2 linked regions of the Macaca fascicularis genome follow. The protein of the gene in region 2 purifies or fractionates together with the protein of the main gene of each other region. This does not show direct contact. Links are inferred from orthologs where the notes say so. Each region holds a gene or a part of one and is shown on either strand. Other genes may lie near its edges. The genes, in order: MIA3 and MIA2.

What was found.
Region 1: the proteins of MIA2 (region 2) and MIA3 purify together in Homo sapiens (affinity purification with western blotting; 6 studies listed by BioGRID and IntAct, counting the BioPlex papers as one, with this or other methods). This does not show direct contact. The link is inferred for Macaca fascicularis from reciprocal best matches to the Homo sapiens genes MIA2 and MIA3.

Annotation. Positions count from the first base shown.
Region 1 is NC_088375.1:80,624,940-80,628,767, reverse strand, and holds part of MIA3 (transport and Golgi organization protein 1 homolog), read right to left. Parts: intron 2,535-3,828; coding exon 1-2,534.
Region 2 is NC_088381.1:107,191,446-107,195,026, reverse strand, and holds the end of MIA2 (melanoma inhibitory activity protein 2), read right to left. Parts: intron 3,562-3,581; coding exon 3,503-3,561; intron 2,541-3,502; coding exon 2,306-2,540; intron 1,191-2,305; coding exon 1,024-1,190; 3' UTR 588-1,023; downstream 1-587. UniProt on the Homo sapiens protein: Plays a role in the transport of cargos that are too large to fit into COPII-coated vesicles and require specific mechanisms to be incorporated into membrane-bound carriers and exported from the endoplasmic reticulum.

The sequences.
Region 1 (3,828 bases), on a different chromosome or scaffold from region 2:
GCTGACTTCAGTTTTGATGACATTTCTTGTAGCAAGGCTTCCATCTCATAGGCATTAAGGTACCTCTTGAACCGCTGCAAAGACTGTTGCTCTTTAAAGAAGCTGCTTATGATAAGCAAGTCCTCCCTCTTGTAACTATACTCTGGCTCTACACTTGTATGTGGGGTCCAGAGGAACAAGTCATCTTCAGGGTGTGTAGCAGCAGAACCCTGGCTTTCTGTGCCCACGTATTTCTCTGTGTTCTCATGGTCCTCTTTTGAGAGTTCTCCCTCAAGCTTCCCTGCAAGCCCTGAGGTCTTCAGATGTTCCTCAGGGTTGTTGTTCTTCAGATAATCAGAATCTTTATTCTGAAACATTTCACCTAATTCTGGAGTCTGAGTTTTTATGCTGTCAGAAAAGTCACTTCCTTCAGATTGCCTCTGTGCTTTCTCATCTGCCAGAGGGCGTTCTTTTCCCACCACTGTATTTGGTTCCCTGCCTCCTGTGTTGACCCCTTTGGCAGCAGTGTCACTTTTGTCACTATCTAAAATCATGCTAGTTTCTTGCTTGCTTTCTTCAATTTCTGGATCTGGATGAATGGTCCCTAAAACCGCTCTGTCAGGGACTTGCAGATTAACATCAAACTGCCTGCCCTGATTCCCAGGGTTTTCTTCTTTAGACCGTTTTGCACTTACAGCGTTTTCATCCTCTAGTAGTTCTTCAGAGGGATAATCGTCCTCTTCTGCTTCAGAAAGGAAAGCTGGTCCTCCTGTGCTGTCAGTTTGTTCTGTCTGTCCTACTCTCTGTGTGCCCTGCATTGCCTTGTGATGAAAAAACTCTTCATCCAAGGAGTCCTCTTCGGCTTCTCCCTCAGACAGCCTTATCTTCTCACTCATTTGCTTATTGACTGTGGCAGCCACATCTCTTTCTTGTTGCCAGGAAAGATTTCCTCCCAGAATGGGAACCTCATCTTTCAGTTCTCTGGGCAAATCAATCTCATCTGGAGAGGAGAATCTAGGTTGATTTTGAGTTTTAAGAACTAATTCCTCTTTCAATTCCTCACGTTGATGCTCCAGTGAAAGCGTGTGAGGTTTGGCCCCATTAACCAAAGCGTCTCCCTCCACACTGTCTCTGGATGCGTTAGGGTGGTTATCTCCCATGAGTGGTGCATTACGCAAGGATTCCTGTTGAATCTTTTTGTCATTCATTTGATTCCCTGCAGCTTTCTGTGCAGATTCACTCTCTGAGCCACCTTCCAAAATCTGCTCTCCAGGCTTTTCTTCACGGAGCATTCCTTTTGAGATATGAATAGCTGCTCCTTTTAGGTCATTTGCTTTATCATCATAAGCTGATTTTAATGAGTCTTTACCCTTTTCAGCAGCTGGCATAGAGTTGAGGTTATTGCTGTGAGCAGAACTGTGCACAGTCATGCCTTCTTGCTTTTCATCCTCTAATTCTGTCTCATCTTGTACCAGGCCCCTCTTGGATTCCTGAACTCCCCTCCCTTTTCCTTTAATGTGATGGTCTGTGTTTACTTCCGGGTCTTTGTCATTATTTGTTTTAGGAACATCTACAATCAAAAGACCATCATCTACATTGTCAGGGTCACTATAATCTGTTGCTGACTGTGGTTTCCCCAGTCTGCTCTCTGGGACTAATGCATCATCATCATCTTTTTCTTCCTCTGAACTAGAGCTCTCTAAATCCATCGTACCTCTATTTTCTTCACCTCCTGTGACAATAGAGAAGATAGTGTCCCCCCAGGTTGTTAGTATATTTTTATCATCATTTTTGATGCCAGGGGGCACAGTTAGCTCAATCTTATCCTCTTCATTTGAATTCTGCTCTTTATCTGTTGGATATTTCTCAACTCCAGACTTTGCTGGAGTTTTCACATCTTCCCCATCTGTAAAGGTAAGTAATGGCAACTCATCAAAGTCTTCTTGGTTCTCCTCATGTTCCTTTCCAACTGCATAATACTCAGCATCCAATTCCTCATCAAAATCATCTTCTAATGAAGTAACAAGTCTGGTTGTCTCATCATCAGATACAAGTGCATCAGCTGTTGAGCCAAATTTGGTTTTCAAGTCTAGAGTCATTTCTTTTTTCAAAAGTTTATAGGCATCAATCTTATCCTGTTCATTTGAGACCTGAGAACTATTGCTGGTTTTGTTGTTTTCACTTTCTGGCACTTTTAGTTTATCTTGCAGCATTTCTTCAAAAGATTCAAATGAAGGCTGCTCTCCCTGAGCATGATCTGCTTGGCTGTTTGCGTGGGAGTGGTGCTTCTGAGTTGTAAACTGTTCCTGAAGATCCTCAGTGTTTTCTGAGAATACACTATCGCTTTCCTCTGAGTTGGCTTCTACTGGTTCAGGTTCAGGTTCCCTTTCCGTAGATAATTCAGAGTTTTTTTCCATATCCTGTGAAGTTTTTTCTACAGCTTTCTCGGAATCTCCAGCTGCAGAATTGTACAGTTCCAAAAACCCTAAAAGTTCTTCTACATTATAATTATCAAAATCATCTCTTCCTCCATCAAAACAAACAAAATCCGTCTCCTGCAAGAAAAAGAAAAACATTAGTGTGTCAACAGCCAAGTGTCACCAGAGCAAACTCTTATCCATGTTAATGATTGAGATAATCTCAAATTCACGTTTGGCTCTAGAGGAGCTTTTGCATCAACACTGGGCACTGACTGTTCTTGGGCAGTGGGTGGATAGGACACTGGAACCCACTTTCCCATCTGAGTAATACTCCTGGCTTCCCTTCATTCTCTCTTCCCCAGGGGAAGAATGATTCATGTGGCTGGTGAGTTTGCTCAGTCCCATTCCTGTTTTCTGTTTGGGACCTGCTGGAGAGAAAACACATATTCTGCTCCTCCATGCTGTCCATTTGACAGAGACGGTCCCGCCTGGGGAGACCCCTAGTTGGGTAGCTCTGTCTGTGACTGGATAAGTCCATCTTAGTTTAGACTGCCATGTTAGAAAGCCCATTAGTTCTGCACATTCCAAACAGCTTTATCAGTAAGTAACGGGGTCATTTTGATCTCCTATTTGCCCAATTTCTGGGTCTCTCAATTTGTTTTGAGCACAGGTGGGGAAAAGTGAGGTGTCATTTATTGGGTTCCCCAACTCCCAACATCTATGCCTGGTGTTCTGGGAATTCACTTCATAATAACGCATCCAGAAGGAGCTGAAAGACCATCAGCTTCTCTACATTGTGCCCTCTATGTCATACTTCTGCTCCCCCAGTCAGAAACAGGCAGAATCACCTGGCTGTCAGGTTCTCAGTCTACATGGATTTGGGACTCATATTTTCCTTGGACTGGGAAAGATAAACCAGCTTCAGAAGGAACTTACTGAGATACAGATGCATGAGATATAAAAATGTAAGAGAACAAAGAATGGTGTAAAGGAGGCTTCCCATTTTACTACTGCCACAAGAACAACTTGAAAACAAGGTTCGCTAAGGTAGGTACCTGACTCCAAATAAGCATTCTAGGCAGTCACTAAGATCTGCTTTCAGGAATATTGAGTAAATCTATATTTTTCCTTTCCTCCACCAGTAAGCAAATTGACACACAAGGAGCCATAAAATGATGGAAAAGTTAAAAAAACAACAAAGATACTTTTCTTCCCCTAAATAAACATTCACAATCTTCTGGGGAGACCTGTCCAGTATACCAGAGATGAATGATTTCCCCCATTCCATCATGCACACTTCCGAGCCAATTTTTTAAATATTTAAATATTAAATATATTTAAATCCTTTTAGTCATAAAGCCATTGTGCGCTATAGATAAATGCTCTTAGAATGTGTAGTTAGTGCCTTACAGATACGAGACTGGACCTT
Region 2 (3,581 bases):
CTTTTATTCAAGAATATTTAATCTTCTAGCTTTTGGCACTGAAAAAAAAGTCTAATACTATAACAACCAACTGGTCAACATAAGTATTGTGATGTTTATTAGCTATGCCTCACTGCCTTTCCTCCATAATCATATTAATGTGCAAGAAGCCTAAAATGACCTACAAACCTGATTTAGGGAAACACTAAAGCTATTGAGTCCAAAGCGCAAAATGATGACACATCACTCACTACAGTTATCCTGTAGTAAATCTCAATATTCCCCACAGAAAATAGTAAATACATTACAAAAGAAGAGTGGGGTGGGGGGGCAGGGAAAGCAATAAAGAAACTGTGCAAGAAATTCAGTGAATAAGAAGATCAAAAGTCTACAACTGATCATTAGATAATATCCAGTTTTCTTTAAAATATAATCAATTTTGACTTTTAAGAGTGTATTAATTTGTTGCTTTGGGCCACTCATGTCTATTTACAAGAAAGAGGGCACATTTGTCATAACATAACTGAACATGAAAGACCCATATAAGTTTGAGTTTTGCACCTCAAAGTTATTGGTAAAAGGAAAAAAGTTAATTAATAGAGTCAAACTTATAGAAAAACTAGCTGATTTTATTATTATCAATGCCAAACAAATCTTTAAATCAACTAAAATTTATTTAAGCATAAAGTTACTTTCACATTTGTCTACAACCACAGTAAATACAGTTCTTGGCATAAAGACATAGCCTTTAGAATTTAAAGCCTCCCCACCTGCAAGATTACATATATAAAACTCCCACTATTGTTTATGTAATAGTGGATCAATCAAATTAAAATAGTTATACCATCTAGAATAAAATAAAATGGAAATAATTTACTCATAAGATTCATATTTAAATCATCTTTATTTACAAAATACTATCCTGAGAACTGTAATTCCATTAAGCTTCAATTTGAGCAAAAGTGTAATCACTTAAGTAACAGCAGTTACTTAAACTGGAAATTAGATCAGTCAAAATTACTTTTGAAGAGAGCAAAAATATTGTCAGGTTTCTTGCTGTGGTTCTGGATGTTCAGTAGCAGGCTCATTTGAAGGCGGAATCAACCCTGAAGGGAACTCACTTCTACCTTCAGAATGTGGGGGTGGGGGGAAAAATCCAGGTCTTGGGGGAAGGTAAGGAGGAAAACCCCTCGGTGGATAGACATTTCTCACTGTTCAAAGAGATTGGTAAAAGACATTTTTTAACTTTAAGAACCTGTACTGTGCCCTAATAAATCATTAAGTTTATAAGTTCCATTACCTATTCTTTTCTTTGAAAATTGACACCAGATAATTACTTCATCTAACAAATTACTTTTTACATTGAGAAAAATGTACCTCTTCCAATACAGAAGATTAAAGGAAATATCATTAATTTTTTATGTAATTTTTGTCCTATCTTAACACCTGTTTTTAAAAAAAGAGGAATTATTTCAAAATATATAAAACTTACTGTAAAAATAACATTTTTATCTTTCATTATCAAAGTCCTTCTCAAAAAACATTTTCATGTAATATTTTCACCAAACTTAAAATTCATATCAGTGATTCCCGACTCTGATTTGATATTATACTGAAACATTTCCAGTAATATCAAAGGCCACCTTAAAATTCCCCCAAACAAAATTCATTTTAATTCACCTTTAACTTTAAAAAGAGAGGAGAAATAAGGAAAGGAATGACTATATGAGACATTCATAGGAAAAGCCTAGTATTTGGTAACCACTTATTTATTCTGCAGAACCTTATAGTTCAAAACAGTAAAGTATGAATATAAAAGCAATGTATTATTCCCTTTTTCTTATGTGAAGCTTTAAAAGAATTCAATAAATCCAAAAATTAGGTCAAACATATTAAATACATTTTAAATTTTAAATAAGTAGGACTACATCAGAACAACTTATGAAAAGGACTAAAAAATAGCCAGTAATTGTAATGCTAGAATATAAGTTTTAATTATTTTCACTAAGTGCCAAAATGACCAGTTGCTACCAGATAAGGTACAGATGATTTTAGTTTTATCATAAGACCTGCAAAAAGTCAATTATTTTCTTGACTACCAAAATACAGAAATAATTCCATATTATTAAGCTGAATCAAGGTGAAACCTCATTATAGTCCACTTATGGCTGGCTGCCTTCCCAATTCGGAAAAGTAATGGTACACTCACAGAATGCTAGAAAAATGTTTCCTCCACTGTGTTACTACATTAACAGATAGTAAAATTAAATCTCTGATTAATAAAACACATATTGAGCTTTAAAAAAAAAAGTTTAAAAAAGCATACTTGCAAATGGAGCATGTGGTGGACCTGGGAAATCCCTTGGTGGAAAATAATCTCGAGAAGTTCCAAACATGGCTCCTGGAGGAGGTGCAGGGAAAGGAGGTCCTCTTCTCAAGAATGGGCCCCTTGTATCCACTGGAAACAATGGACCTCTGATTGGAGCAAGAGGTGGAGGAACAAAGCCAGGTCCAGTTGCTTCATTTTCAGCAGGGAGAGATGAATCAGGCACATTTAAATTCTACAACAAATTGACATATAGCAGTCACTAAAACAGCAAATTTGCAATTGTTTTCCTTAAAATCTCAGGCTTAAAAGAAACCATCTAGACAGAAAGCATTCCATGATAGTCTTAGAAAGCTCTAAAGAAAGATTCAAACAGCTTTCCACATTAATCTATTAGCTATCACATTTTAGTTATCACAAATATTTTATTAAGTCAACAGAAAACAGCTTTAACCAACAAAGTAATAGTCTGTCTAAAGATAAAACAGAAATATAACCCAAGAGCACCAAAATATATATTATTTTATCAAATATATACTGGAAAAAAAGAAAAAGCAAGATGTCTATGTTTATATTTTCAAAAAAAACATTATCTTAATAAAAAAAAATATTTTAAAATATTCAAATAAAAATCCAAGGGCGAGGGGAACTAAAATCTTGTTTAACTACTAAAATAACTCAAACTCCTAGTCTGCAAATTGTATTTTATCACCACAGGTTACCATCTACAAAAGAAACAGCTTTAATGCTAAGTAGAAAGTATATTAATCAAAAAGAAAAAATCAGCTTTATATCAAAAGCTAGACTATTAGCTGTTATTTCTATTCTAGTAAACCATGAGATTGGAAGGCTCAGGCCAGGCGCGGTGGCTCAGGGCCAGGCACAGTAGCTCACACCTGTAATCCCAGCACTTTGGGAGGCCGAGGCGGGCAGATCATCTGAGGTCAGGAGTTCAAGACCAGCCTGGTGACACTCTGTCTCTACTAAATATACAAAAATTAGTTGGGTGTGGTCGCACGCACCTGTAGTCCCAGCTATTCAGGAGGCTGAGGCAGGAGAACTGCTTGAACCCGGCTTACAGTGAGCCGAGATAGCATCACTGCACTCCAGCCTGGGCAACAACAGTGAAACTCCATTTCAAAAAAAAAAAGAAGGCTGTTGAATACATGGATACAATTCCACTCTTTCAATACTTACACCAAGATCATCTTTGGTATCATTTCTACTGGATTCCATTTCTGAAGGCATTGACCCATCTAGACATAAAAGTTAAACT